2 linked regions of the Oryza sativa Japonica Group genome follow. The protein of the gene in region 2 interacts with the protein of the main gene of each other region in a pairwise test. Links are inferred from orthologs where the notes say so. Each region holds a gene or a part of one and is shown on either strand. Other genes may lie near its edges.

Region 1 (7,405 bases), on a different chromosome or scaffold from region 2:
TGGTATCTCTTAATAGCCGAGGTATTAAGAGAAGAGGTATACCAAGTTTCTTAATAAAAAAAGGATACCTCACTGTACCTGCTAAAGAGTAAAATCACTCAACAACTAATTAAATTTCCGGTTGTTCAAGTTGCAATGGAATCATTGTAGTTTGGAAGCATCGTCAATAGAATCACCATCTTTGTCTAGTTTGAAAGAGTTGCCAATACTCAATAGCATTATCATCTTTTTTTTGCTCCCAAGTAGACTTTGTTTTCGTTAAGAAGAACATCTTCTTAAACTTCTTTATCAAAGAACACATCACCCACCATCTTCTTAAACTTTATCAAAAAGAAAACCACCACCTTGAAGTATGTTTGCTCAATCATATGCAGGACCACTAAACACAAGGCTCAAATTGACGCCATCTGACTAACAACTACTTCCTCCATTCTTTTCTTCAAGAAACTACTCCCTCTATCCTATATTAGTCTCCAAAACTAATCTTTGTTTTATAATTTCTCATATATATAATAAGGTTGTAGTAACAAAATTATAACCATATGAAAATAAATTCAAATATTAATCCAATGATATAATTTTTAGCAAGTAAAATTCAATTTATATTGTACTAAATGATGGTCAAAATGTTTTGAAGGTGGAATCTTAAAATATGTGGACGCCTTATATTATGTGATGGAGAGAGTAACTTCTAATTCTGTATTTGAACATAGTCTATATCTAAATATATAGTTTGAAGTTTTTTTTTTTTTTTTGGTGGGAGGGGGTGTAGTCCATGACCAGTGAAAGATGCATACGTTACAAGGATTACACTGCGACAGAGGTGAGCAGGCGAGTTGGATTGACTGGAGGAAACGACAACGCTTCGTCGTTCTGAGGACGCGCATGCTGGATCTGGGGCGCCGGGCCGCAGTTGATGACGGTGAGAGCGGAGGCGAGGGCGGTGTTGGGTGGCGAGTTTATCGGAGACGACGACGATGAGGCCTCACCATTCCGGCCGATGAGCGTGTTGGGACGGCCCCGCTGCGGAGGAGGTGAGGGGATCGGAGGCTCTGAGAGGCGAGTTTACCGGAGATAACGACGAGGCCGTCCCATTCCGGCGGATGCGCCTGCCGGAGCGACGCCGCGGCGGCTGGGACGGAGAGATCGCCGGGGGAAGAAGAAGAAGAGAGAGGAGGAGTGGCATTAACTGACACCGTTGGATCAAAACCTCATGGCTGCGATCGCGTAAGCACAGGGTGACTTTTGCAAAAGAGCCCTCAGTTTGTTGTTAGTATTTTCTTTAGAGTCCTTGCTCGACATGGATCGCTGCGACGCTGCGCATCGTTAGCGACCGTACGGGCCTGTACGGAAACCGTCGGATCCGAATCAAGCGGTCAGGAACTCAGGATCACCGCGGCCGAGTGGAAACTGTCCGTAGATCGCTATCCTGATGGCTCGTAGTCGTACATACACCGTTGGATTCGAATCTCGCGGCCAGGGTGGTGCGGCTCTACGTCAGCCGCGCCGTCTCCTTCGCCGGAAATCCAGAGCCGCGTAGCTCCGACACCATTGCCACTTCGCTCGAGAGCTGAAAGCTGGCACATCTAGTCGTCGGCTGATCACTCCTGGTGGCAACAACCAAAAGAAGTGATCGATAATTTTATTCTTGGCTGCTGATGAATTCAGTAAATCGGCCTGGCCGGCATGGTAGATCGATGCCGTGCCATGGCGGAGTCGATGTGCAGTTACACTGAATAAAACCAGTGTGCAGTTGTGCATTTGGTCTGCTTAGAGCAGGTGCAATAGCAGGCTATAAGCCAGCTATAAACACATTTCGAAAAAATAAAAAAAGAGAGAGAATGACAGCGGGGCTACAGATTTATAACCAGTTGCAGCACAGACTTCAAGGTGTATGTGTGTATGATAGATGAGACCAAATATTAATTATGTAGTATATATTTATAGGTAACTATTGTATGAGTTGGCTATTAAGTTGATTATAGATGATTTCAAGCCAACAGTTGGCTATAGGACACAACATTTTTCTTTTTCTTTTTTGAAAATGACACATTTTCCTAAGAACATGCACGGAGTTCTGCCTGTCTCAGGAGATAAAGGAAACCGAAACTCATACAGCAGGATTCACAGGAGAGCAAGGAAGGTACTTCGGTTCTGATGCACTGGAGATCGAGTGCAGATGGTGCTGTGAAAGCTCTTGAACAGCAGGAAGGTACAGAGATGTTTGGCTCAGCTCACCTTGAATATATATGCATAATATCTGGGTTGACCTTCCACAAATATCCAGATCAATGGCACAAACGTGATAAAATTGATTGGAAAATCATTTGCAACACAAGATCACGCAGTGTAACTGGAGTGGACTTCATGTCGATCCAAGCCGACACAATTGGTAGTTGACACAATGATCATCAAATTCTCAAAAAAAAAAAAAGACAATGATCATCAGACCCAGGCACCCAGCCTTTCATTTTTTTTCTAATCTTCCCTTAAAACTACAAGCATCCAATCTTCAACTCCATTACCTTAAAAAAAAAACTAATCTTCAACTATTATTATATTACCAATTAAACTATTACACGCTTGAGTTGCAACCATTTCTGCAGTTTCGGCTCCACGACGTGCATGGCTCAAACCCCGCCAAAAGCTCACCTCGTCGTCGTCGTCGTCGTATCTCTCCTCCTCGCTACGTGCGAGGCACATCGCGTGCGCCCACGATGCCACGGCCGCGCGCCACCGTCCTCCACGTCGTCGATCATGGCGACCTTATAAAACTCCTCCGCCGTGCGGGCCTCTCCCTCAATCCAGTATTCCACTACCGAGGTCGAGCAATGGCGGCGACGATGAACAAGACGCCGGCAACCACCTTCCTGCTGATACCGGCGGCGGCGTCGCTGGTTCTCCTCCTCGCGGCGGCCGCGTCGGTGGAGGCGTCGGCGTTCGACTACGCCGGCGCGTTCGACAAGTGCCTCCTGTTCTTCGAGGCGCAGCGCTCCGGCAAGCTCCCCGACGACCGCCTCGTCCGGTGGCGCGGCGACTCCGCCCTCACCGACGGCTTCTCCCAGGGGGTAATACATACATCTCCGCCGCCTCCGGTTCAATCAACCAAATGCTCGATAGTGGTTACAGTCGTTAGAGTAGTACTTTAAAGTCCTGAGTTTAAATCTTTATAGAAGTAAATTTTAGATTGTGTTGTCCACGGGACAAAGTTCTCTATTGCAATGGCCGTGTATATCCAGTTGGATGTAAAAGGCAAGGCCGGGTAAATGCTCGATCGGGTTGAGTAATGCGGCGCGAATTGAATCGAAGGATGGATGAATTTGCAGGTGGATTTGGTGGGCGGGTACTACGACTCCGGCGACCACGTGAAGTTCGGGCTCCCGATGGCGTACGCGGTGACGATGCTGTCGTGGGGGGTGGTCGAGTTCGAGAAGGAGATGGTCGACGGCAACAAGCTCCACCGCGTCCTCGACGCCATCCGCTGGGGCACCAACTACTTCGTCAAGGCCCACACCCAGCACAACGCCCTCTGGGTCCAGGTACGCACGCACTCAAGGCCCATCTCACCAAGAGCCCAACACGGCCCACTAGTGCCCTCAAGAAAAATTTTCTGGATTCTTTGATTAGGTGGGTGACGGCGACAGCGACCACCTGTGCTGGGAGCGCGCCGAGGACATGTCGACGCCGCGCACGGCGTTCAAGATCGACATCAACAACCCCGGGTCGGAGGTCGCCGGCGAGACCGCCGCCGCTCTCGCCGCCGCCGCCAAGGCCTTCAAGCCCTACGACCGCATGTACTCCGACCTCCTCCTCCTCCACTCCAAGCAGGTACAGAGACACATGTGGCTGTGATCTTCGTCCATTTTTCCAACCCACCTTCCTCGTTTTTCGCACGCATGCTTTTCAAACTATTAAACGGTATGATTTATAAAAAAAAAGTGAATTACGTTTTGGGCCACATCTTATTACCTAAGTTTCACTTTAGACCACCTTTAAACATATATTTTTACTTTGGACCGAATAAATTTACTATTGTTGTAATTTGGATTACCACGAACGATTTTTTTTCAGTACAACCAACGAGCTTAAACACATCAACTCTAGTATGCGGCCGAACTCCTCTATATATGGTTCATATGTTTGCCGAAAGGGAAGTTATACATGATGAGAAAAGTTGTTTATGATAGTACAAACCGTAACAGTGGTAAATTTACCCAGTCTAAATTAAAAAGATAGCTTTAAGGGTGGTCCAAATTGAAACTTGGGAAATAAAAGAGGGACCAAAGTGCAATTTAATCTTAAAAAAATATATATTAAAGTTATTTTAAAAAATCATATTAATCCATTTTTTTTAAAAAAATAATTAATAGTTAATTAATTTTATAATAATATAAGCTTTGTTTTGCGGGACGGGAGGAGGGGCTGTCGAACGCAGCCAGCGTATGAGAGCAATCAGCAAATGCAGCAGCAACATTCTGATGAGTTATTTTCTCTTTTTTTTGGGGGGGCAGCTGTTCACGTTCGCGGACACGTTCAGGGGCAAGTACGACGACTCGCTGCAGAGCGCCAAGAAGTTCTACCCGTCGGCGTCCGGCTACCAGGACGAGCTGCTGTGGGCGGCGGCGTGGCTGTACGAGGCGACCGGCGACGAGCAGTACCTCCGCTACGTGTCCCAGAACGCGGAGGCGTTCGGCGGCACCGGCTGGGCCGTCACCGAGTTCTCCTGGGACAACAAGTACGCCGGCCTCCAGGTCCTCCTCTCCAAGGTCCTCTTCGAGCAGGGCGGCAGCGCCGCCGGCTACGCCGACACGCTGAAGCAGTATCAGGCCAAGGCCGAGTTCTTCCTCTGCGCCTGCCTCCAGAAGAACAACGGCCACAACGTCAAGATGACCCCTGGTAATCCATCCCATCCTTGCTAGCTTCTTCTTCTTCCAAGGATGGAAAACTCAAATCATCCTTAAGAAAACATCTCCTCATTTTTGCATGATCATAAAAAAAATTAGTAGGATAGATCACTCTTAATAAATATACAAATTCAAATTCAATTAATACAAATAAAAACAAAAATAATAAATTTGACAATGAATAGAACGTGTAATTTAAGGTTAAATTTGTTATTTTTGTTTTGAATTGTATAAGTTGAATTTTAACTCGCATGTTTACGAAAGATGTCATATATTAATCTATCTTGACAATTTTTTTTTAAAAAAAAATTGATAAAATTTTGAGTGAGATGTATAAAACGAGGGGATGTCCTCCCGAGGGACAAAAATCCACTTCCTCGAAGAATTGGTAATAGATTTTGCAATGTGATTGTTCTGAATTGTGTGGATTGGATTGGTTATCCAGGTGGTCTCATGTACGTGAGCGACTGGAGCAACATGCAGTACGTGAGCTCGTCGGCGTTCCTCCTCACCGTCTACGCCGACTACCTCGCCGAGTCGCGGGGAACGCTCAGGTGCCCGGACGGCGAGGTGAAGCCGGCGGAGATCCTCCGGTTCGCGAGGTCGCAGGTCGACTACGTCCTCGGCAAGAACCCCAAGGGGATGAGCTACATGGTCGGATACGGCAGCTACTACCCGACGCACGTCCACCACCGCGGCGCGTCCATCCCGTCCATCTACGCCATGAACGCCACCGTCGGGTGCATGGAAAGCTTCGACAAGTACTACAACAGCAAGAACGCCGACCCCAACGTCCTCCACGGCGCCCTCGTCGGCGGCCCCGACGCCAACGACGCCTACGACGACGACCGCTGCAACTACCAGCACGCCGAGCCCACCCTCGCCGGCAACGCCCCCATGTCCGGCGTCTTCGCCCGCCTCGCCGCCTCGCCCGCCGATAACACGCCGGAGTACACGCCGGCGCCAAATGCCCCCTCGCCATCAAATGGTAATTAATTAACCAAATCAACAATGCAATCGAACTTGTACCATTGAGATCTCCTCCAAGTGATCGTGCGTTTCTTTGTCAGGTGGGTCGCCGTTGGAGTTCGTGCACACGGTGACGAACACGTGGAAGGCAAACGGCGTGGACTACTACCGGCACGTGGTGACGGCGAAGAACACGTGCGGCCACGCCATCACCTACCTGAAGCTGCAGATCAAGGAGCTCTCCGGGGAGATCTACGGCGTCTCCCGCACGAACGCCAAGGACATGTACGAGTTCCCGTCGTGGATGACACGGCTCGACGCCGGCGCGCAGCTCACCATCGTCTACATCCAGGGCGGCCCCGCCGCCAAGATCGCCGTCGTCGAGTACAAGACGGCCTGAGAATGGCACGACGACGACGACTGATTTCTGCCTTTCCTTTTTTCCATTTTAGTTTTGGTGTGTGGTTGGCTGCTGCTTTTCAGCAAACAGGTGGTGTGCAATCTCGAAGCAACGAGTCTGTGATGTCACCTCTGACCACGACTGCTTTGAGATGTGGACATGCACTGTTTCTTCTGTACTTGGAATGGCATAGGAGATCTCTCAGCTTTTCTTTTAGCTTTCGTGATTTCTCCATTCTTTCCGCTGTGCACGCCTGTGTGTTTTATATGTTCAAATTAAGCAGAAAACTGTGACATGATGTTTTTGCTATTGTGCTTAGGTGGTGTTTGGATCCAGTGACTTAACTTTAGTACTTATATTTAGATACTAATTTAGAGTATTAAATATATACTACTTCCAAAACTAATTACATAAATGAAAGCTAATTTACGAGATAAATTTTTTAAGCATAATTAATCTATAATTAGAGAATGTTTACTGTAGCATCCTAATTATGGATTAATTAGGCTCAATAGATTCGTCTCGCAAATTAGTTCAGAATTATGGATGGGTTTTATTAATAGTCTACGTTTAATATATATAATTAGTGTCCAAACATTCGATGTGATAGAGATTAAGTTTTAAGTTTTAGTCCCATCTAAACAGGGTGCTAGTTTGAGATGAAATTCAACTGCCAACGACTTCCTTTTCTAATTCTTATTTTCTTGCAAAGCTCTTTATCTTCTACAAGAATAGAGAATAAATTGTTGTAATTAGTCAAACAAATCTGTACCTTGTCTTTTCATCAAAAAGAAAATCTGCAGTTTGCCAATGACTCTCTGCATTGCTTTGGGTGGAATATGACAGATTATTCCACACTGGTTGTCTTTTCGATATAATGTTTTTTTTTTCAGTTTTGTGTTTAACTGGTTCAAGATGGAATTCAGCTGCCAACGACAGTGTTTTTCTTTGCAATTTCTTTCGCTTCTAGAAGATATTTAAGGAGATGAACAGTTTCAGTTTTTTTTTGACTGGTCACCAGAGGGAGAGCTACCCCACCTAAATTTTCATTTAAAGAGAGATATAATATATTAAGTCATACTCCCTCCGTCTCAAAAAAAAATAACAGAGGAGAGGATGCCTCTCCTTGTCC
Region 2 (7,418 bases):
TAATGGAGGAACTGTGAAGTGTAAACACATTTTATTGCATGAATATCAACCAATACAACAGTTACCCAGACAAGCTACAATCTCATTTGCCCAAGCGGAAATTAAAATAAGCATTACGAAGAGTAGACTTATTTGAGTAATGAAGAGCCTGCGCACCTGATTCATATTTTCAAGATTCTAAAACAAACTTCACTAAACAGTTAGGGACCAACAGGTGCAAGTTATAATTTCTTTGGTAATGGAAAACAAAGCATGACAGTCGAACTGCAGAACAGTATCACCGTCAGCGATGCAAATGACACAATATCACTGATATCTAATGTAGTTCCGCAGATAATATGTATACAAATAAGAGTGAGATGTGATGCCCGTACATTTACAAAGAAATGACTTCATAAAAAATAATCACTAGACTTATAAGTTATAACATGTGATGCCCGTACTTACTGATCTAATTTATACCCGAGAACTTCTAACACAGAGCTCTGTTAATGTTAAAACGTCCGCTAGAACATTTAAACCTAAGAAGACATAGGCACATTTCTTACCCATTTAATGAAAAACTTGCATAGGGAATTGGTGATATTAGGCGAGCAGATTCAAGATTGTATAATGAATGTACAGTAAAATGCTATGTAGGCTGCAAAACCTAAATTGAGAATAAGACATATCCTATACTCGTCTGAGATTAATGGAATCTAATGGCAAAGGGTGATGGCTTCATATTTTGACCAGATTAGAGTGTCATGATCCACGTAGGCCATTAAGTTTTGTTTTTTTACTCAATTTACTTGCTTCTATGTGATAGTCATTAAAACTATAAAAGAATTTATATCCGTTGCAGCACCACATACAAATTCAAATACTGACATGATTCATTGAGCATACAGAAGCAACCAACTAAAAGCAGGCTACCCAGTGACCTTTCCTCAACTATGTTTTTGACATTTTTTATTAGACTGGTATGAAATGACGAAAAAAAATGAGAATTATGTATACAATCTCATATATAATTTCATAATGAGAGAATTCTCCAATATCGAGAGTTTTAAGAGCATTCTCCAATTATGTTATACAGTTCTCCAATATGGAGCTTATATTTGTGAGATTTTTTTTTTATGTTTACCTTTCTGTTAATTAGTGGCCAAAATTGTTGCTAGAGTGCTAGGCATAAGCTAATTTACTTCAGTCATAACCGTAAACAAGCTTGGGCATACCTAAGCACTCTTCATTCGTTTCATTACAATACAATGATTCCAGATGCTAAAACTGTTCAGCACATAAAATTCCTCTTGACAATATTTCCCTGCGTTAGTCACACATGCCATGCTGATACAGGCAAATGATGATGGCAGCATACATGAACTTTCAAACCAACTGTTCAATATGATTCAGTTTCTGTTAGGGAGATAAAAACAAAGTCCCTAGTTCCCTTAGCACTCTTCTCAACTACACCACCCCATTTTACTGCTGCCTATAACATGTACACTAGGAAAGACCATATATCCAACAACTACAACAAGAATTGTCCTAGCCTGTGGCGAATTTTGAAGCTCCGACTAAGATGCAAAGCAGCTATATTGGTAGTGACAAATAACGACGCTGCACTTTAAGCAACTCAGTTATGGCCTCCAGCAAGGCATGGCTTTTGGAACAGTGTTGGTTTCCAGCAAGGAAATATCCAGAAATGGAAAGATAGGGTCATTTTCCCCTTTTGGTTTGAAAGATAGGACCAATTGGGACATGACACTTGCACCATAATAAGCGAAGAAATGTGCAAAGCTATAGCATAGCAAATCTCACCAAATATATACATCGAAGGGCACTACCATGTTTCAGCACCTTTATCGCATAGCTGTTGCTTTTTGTTTTTCTTTTTTTCCCCTTTATCGCATAGCTGTTGAGTGGGCTGTTGGCATTAGCATGATAATATGTGGTTGGTACTATCCAGATGCTCTCTACTATTTGTGGTCGTGCTTGAATTAATGTTTTCAATCTGCATAAACACCTAAGGGAATGGAATTTAGTAGTACTAATTACATGGTACCAGAATCCACTAGGAGTCTATCTCAAACATACTCCCTTCGTCCCCAAATATAAGAAGTTTTAGAGTTGGACACGGTTATTAAGAAAGTAGGTAGAAGTGAATGGTGGAGGGTTGTGATAGGTTAGGAAGAGAATGTTGGTGGAAAAGTTGTTATATTTTGGGACAAATCTTGAGGGCTAAAAGTTGTTATATTTTGGGACAGAGGGAGTATTGTATTTTTGTACTACCTCCGTCCCAAAATAAGTGCAGCCGTGGATATCCGTGCCCAACGTTTGACCGTCTGTCTTATATTTGAAAAATTTGTGAAAAATTTGAAAATATTTAGTCACACATAAAGTACTATTCATGTTTTATCATCTAATAGTAATAAAAATACTAATCATAAAAAAATTTCAAATAAGACGAACGGTCAAACGTTGAACGTGAATAGTGCAAAACTACACTTATTTTGGGACGGAGGGAGTAGTATGTTACTATTTTTTTTCAAAAACGCAGGAGAACTGCGCTTCATTTCAGTAAGAAGAAATAAATATTTACAAAGGAGGGATCAACAAATCCCAAAACACATCACCCATGGGTGAGGCCCGACTAATATGTTACAATAACTGCTGCTCAAAATATCAAATAGGTTAAATTTGATGAGAACAGAAACTTATTTTCCACTCAAATCGTGGAATCATCCACGAATCCAGCTTCTGGCAAGTTTCTAGTGTTTTTCTTTTCAATTTAACTTTGTAAGCTTGGTCTAGCCTGAAGATTGGTGCTCCCTAAATTTTACTGCTTTCCTTCTCTTGTTACAAGGTCTTTTGTGGGCTCGTGTGTGTTTTGGCTGTGTGCATCCTAGTTATGCAAAGGCCAGAAGTTTTCTTAGTATGGTTCTATCAACTTGATGTAATCATCTGAGATTAGTAAAAAGCTTCCTTTATCAAAAAAAAAAATTGCAAGCTCTCAGTTCTTTTACACCTTGGAGTGTTGAAGAGTGTTAGTCCTTGTCTTGTTTTGGCAACAAATGGCTGCAAAACATTCTGGCATGTACATTACCTGCCTAGAACTGATTCCTCTAATCAGCTGATTCTAAAACCCAATCAAGAATGTATTGCCAATCTTGTTATCTTCTCTTGAGTGAAGCTCAATCTTGATATTATTTCAGCTCAGTATATTTTAGTGATAACGGAGAAGATCAATCTCAAACTAGAGGCAAAAGAATTCAATTATGTAGAGTAGGAGTAGCTAATCACATACAGCAGTACACCTTGCAAGTTGTCTGTCTTGACAATACAGCTATCTAATTTGAGATTTGGAGGTTCTATACAGCCAACGCCCCACCCGTCCATAGTTAAATCAAGGGTAAGTACCAATTGGAGATGCCTAGATTACCAGTAGCACGAAAGTTGTTAATTTGTCAGTAGAAATCAGGCACCCCTTTGAAGCAAGATCCCCTATTCTCACCCTGGCTGCAGTGAATTAAACGAGCCATAAGCCCCATGCTGATGGAGAGGCATCTACATAAGGAATCCTAGTCCAAGCGTCCAACCAATTCCCCCTGCGAGTCTCCAATTTCCCCCATGACGACAAGCCCCGCAAATCGACAGCTGATTCCTCTATGAAGACAAAAGCCGCCATCTGCCCCCAAAATCGACAAAAAATTTCCTCGTGACGTACCTCGGTACTAGTACCCATTCGGGGAGCTGTTTTTAGCCGAATTCATCACCACCAAAATTAAATTAAAGTCCAATACTCCTATTTATTCCCCAATCCATATAAGGGAGAGTAATAAAGAGTAGTATGAGATACTCGTATGCTGCTTGGTGAAGACGCAGTAGTAGAATAGAATAGTACCGAGGCGAGGCGGAGAGGAGGACGAGCTTGGAGAAGAGGTCGGGGCGGGAGATGGAGGCGATGGCGCCGATGACGGCGGAGACGGAGTGGCCGACGTAGATGCAGGAGGCGACGCGGAGCTCCTGGAGGATGGCGAGGAGGTCGAGCGCGTAGCCCTCGAGGGTGGCGTAGCGGGAGAAGTCGAAGTAGTCCGGGTTGGTCGGCCCCGCCCCCATGGTGTCGAAGAGCACCACGCGGTAGTCGGCCACCAGGTGCGGCACCAGGTGCTTCCACACCGACTGGTCCGTCCCGAACCCGTGCGCCAGCACGATCACCCCGCGCTTCCCCTCCCCCACCACCCGCAGGTTGTGCGCCTCCTCCACGATCCCCATAGCTTCCCTTCCTCCGATCCTCCTCACGCCCGGACAACACCTCTTCTTCCTCCTCCTCCTCCTCCTCGGCTCCTCGTGGTGGCGTTGCGACTCGCGACTCGGGACTGAGACAGCAGAGGCGGCGGGAGGCCGGGCGGCTGGCTGCCTTGGCTAGTGGGAAATCGGGTGGTGGGGGTTTTAAGGGCGGGGGGCGTTGGTGTGGACCGGAATCTGCCAACCGCAACGCTCTCGCCACGCGGGGTTCCACCCTCGCCTGTCGCTAAACGGTGGGTCCATACTAGCTCCTCGATGAGGGTGGGGCTGAACTTTTAAGTAACCATATTTCTCTCTGTTATTAATGAGGGTCGCGAGTCCGTAATATCTACCGCATGTGCCCTCCACGAGTATATTGAAATCGTATATCCAACTGCAAGCTTAACCCATGAGAGTATTTATTAATTAATTTATTTGTTTATCAAATGTTAAATAAATATTCCCACCCATCGAATAATTGACACTGTGACCACAAATTACGTTTAAATTATATAATGAATTAAAGTTTTATTGTTGTACTTATGACTCTACAACCTACTGCGATAATATAATATAAAGTATTTATAATTTTTTAAGGTCAGAATTTGGATTTGATTAGTGCCGGTTCTAATTAGAACAGAGGGGTATGGCAATTACTAGTATGCCTTTTACCATAAATAAATTTTTATGGAAGAAATTCTGTGGTGAACTTTCATAAGTTAATTTGTGTTTTCAGAACAAACTGAGATTTATTGTTAGTTTGTGGAGTATTAACTATTGCATCAAATCTTGCAATACGTAGGCTAGATTTTACTTTTACAATCATTTCTTGGAATATATATTTCGGACGAAACCGAGGAGCGGCCGGAGTGGAGAGCGATGCTGCGATGTCGGGGGAGGAGATGGCGACGTCAGCCAGTGCACCGGCGAGGAACAGTGGACGGCCAGAGGGTTCGGGATACTGGACACCGCTCCGGCTTTACGGTGTATTTGAGAGAAGAGGAAAGAAAGATTAAGAAGATACGTAACATGAGGCGAGATATTAGAGCATAATTAATTGAGTATTAATTATTTAAACTTAAAAATAGATTAATATGTTTTTAAAGCAACTTTGTTATAACTTATTTTTAAAAATGCACATGCTGTTTAGCCGTTTAGTAAGCGTGTGCTTGAAAAATGAGAGTATATCTTCTTTATCATTGAAACAAACGAAGCTATGATTAAGAGGATGATGTTATAAAAAATATCCTACTTTGATACTCCCTTCGATTTCATAATTCTTGACATTTTAAACACTGACATGGTCTTTAAAAATATCTTTCACCTTGTTTTTTTATTATAATATATCTTTACCTATTATAAAAATTTAAAATGTTTTTGCCTAGGGATTTCATACGTCGCTTGTCCGATTTTTTTTCACCCTCGCGCACGATTTTTTCCGCAGGTGCGTACGTATTTTCGTTAGATTCCTTTACTACCCTACGTAGTGTCCGTATTCCTTTCCTATATTGTTGAGATGTCCAGGTTCGCTTTTATCCAGGCCTATGTCGCTTTGCATTCAGGCCCAGGCCCTTGATAATTCCAATATATTTACACCAAACAGCTACAAGCGTATCCGCTTTCAGTGTCTAAAAAACATCTCAAGGACAAATAAACTCCTATATCTATATGTATATTTCTATCTCTATCTCTATTATTATAAAAATTGAAAATATTTTTGTTGGTACTTTTGTAAGATCTCTATATCTACTATTATAAAAATTGAAGATGTTTTTACCCGTACTTTGATTAGTCATCCGTGTTTGAGTCAGTTTTAATTTCTTGTTTTGGTTTCAATCTCTAATCCTCAAAATCCGTAATTTAAAAAAGGGTGAAAAAATCACACGAAAAAAGAAAACGCCCATAAAAATGCGAAAGAAAAACAGTGAAATAAGTCTGATTCATACCGGAACGGAAAAAATAGGCAAAAATGCTAGGTAAAAACAAAAAAGCGGACCGTAAAAAAAAAATCGACGACTGTAAAAAAAATAAAAAGAGTCATGTGGAAAAACCGATTGGTATCTGTCCTCTTTTATCCTCCTTTTTCCTTTTTTTTCTGCTTTTCTTTTTTTCCATCTGCTTTTTTGTCCGTCTTTTTCCATCCTTCTTTTTTTCCGTTCTTTCCGGTTATTTTGCCATCGCATTTTTCCCTTTTATATTCATTTTTTATCCCTATTTTTTATTCGTATTTTTTTGCACACGGAAGGGTGTGCGCACATGGTTAGAATTCTTTTTTTTATCTACTCGGTTTTTTCTGTTGTAGGGCCGAACCCTAGTACCACCGCCACATCGATCATCCTCCTCATGCTTTTCCTCCTCCAATTTATTGTAAAAATCAATTCTCCACTACTCCATCATCAATCTCTATTTAGAAGTCACCGTTTATATCCCACAGTTTTATAGATTTGCTCTAATTTTGATAAAAATGAAAAGAGGAGATTGAGTGAACAAAAGCCCTCAACCAATTTTGAGAGATCGAGAAAGATTTGACCAGATTTGATGGGAGAATCGGTTTTGGCATCGTACTACACGGGATTGTCTTCCGATTGTGAGACATCGAGAAAGATTTAACCGGATTTGATGGGAGGATCGGTTCTGGCATCGTACTACACGGGACTGTATTTTGGAGGTTGATGATGGAAGTCGACTATACGAGCTAGGCCTATAGTTCTACTTGTGGGCTAGCTTAAAGAGAAGCAAGCTAAGCAGAGGGAGGTAGCGGGCTAGCCCGAGACTGAAAAGGAAGAAAGAAAATGTGTTTTTGACCCAAAACCAAATAGCATAATGTATAGCAATCCAAAAATATTTTTACCCGTTGCAACGCACAGGCTTTTTTTCTAGTACAATAAATAAATATATGTTTACTTTTATTTTAGAACTTTGAAAGACAAATCCATATGTGTTGTTCTAGTTATTTTTAAACTAAATACTTTTAAAGTTATTGATAATCGAAGTTAAAAAATTTGATCTCAATCTTATTCAAAACGTAAGAATTATGGACTGTAGGAGCTTGTAATCCAGGATATAGGGAAGCATTAATGTGAGGGCAGAGACAGGGGAGGTGAGCAGGAGCTTGTCATCCCCATGACTTCAAAATTTACCCTAAATTC

The links.
Region 1: the proteins of probable esterase D14L (region 2) and endoglucanase 13 precursor interact in binary tests that used the Arabidopsis thaliana proteins (3 or more experiments, as listed by UniProt). The link is inferred for Oryza sativa Japonica Group from reciprocal best matches to the Arabidopsis thaliana genes KAI2 and GH9C1.

The regions. Positions count from the first base shown.
Region 1 is NC_089038.1:34,969,621-34,977,025, reverse strand, and holds endoglucanase 13 precursor, read left to right. Parts: upstream 1-2,599; 5' UTR 2,600-2,831; coding exon 2,832-3,068; intron 3,069-3,326; coding exon 3,327-3,539; intron 3,540-3,627; coding exon 3,628-3,828; intron 3,829-4,511; coding exon 4,512-4,896; intron 4,897-5,349; coding exon 5,350-5,892; intron 5,893-5,974; coding exon 5,975-6,273; 3' UTR 6,274-6,581; downstream 6,582-7,405.
Region 2 is NC_089037.1:18,909,348-18,916,765, forward strand, and holds the start of probable esterase D14L, read right to left. Parts: upstream 4,410-7,418; 5' UTR 4,258-4,409; coding exon 3,887-4,257; intron 1-3,886.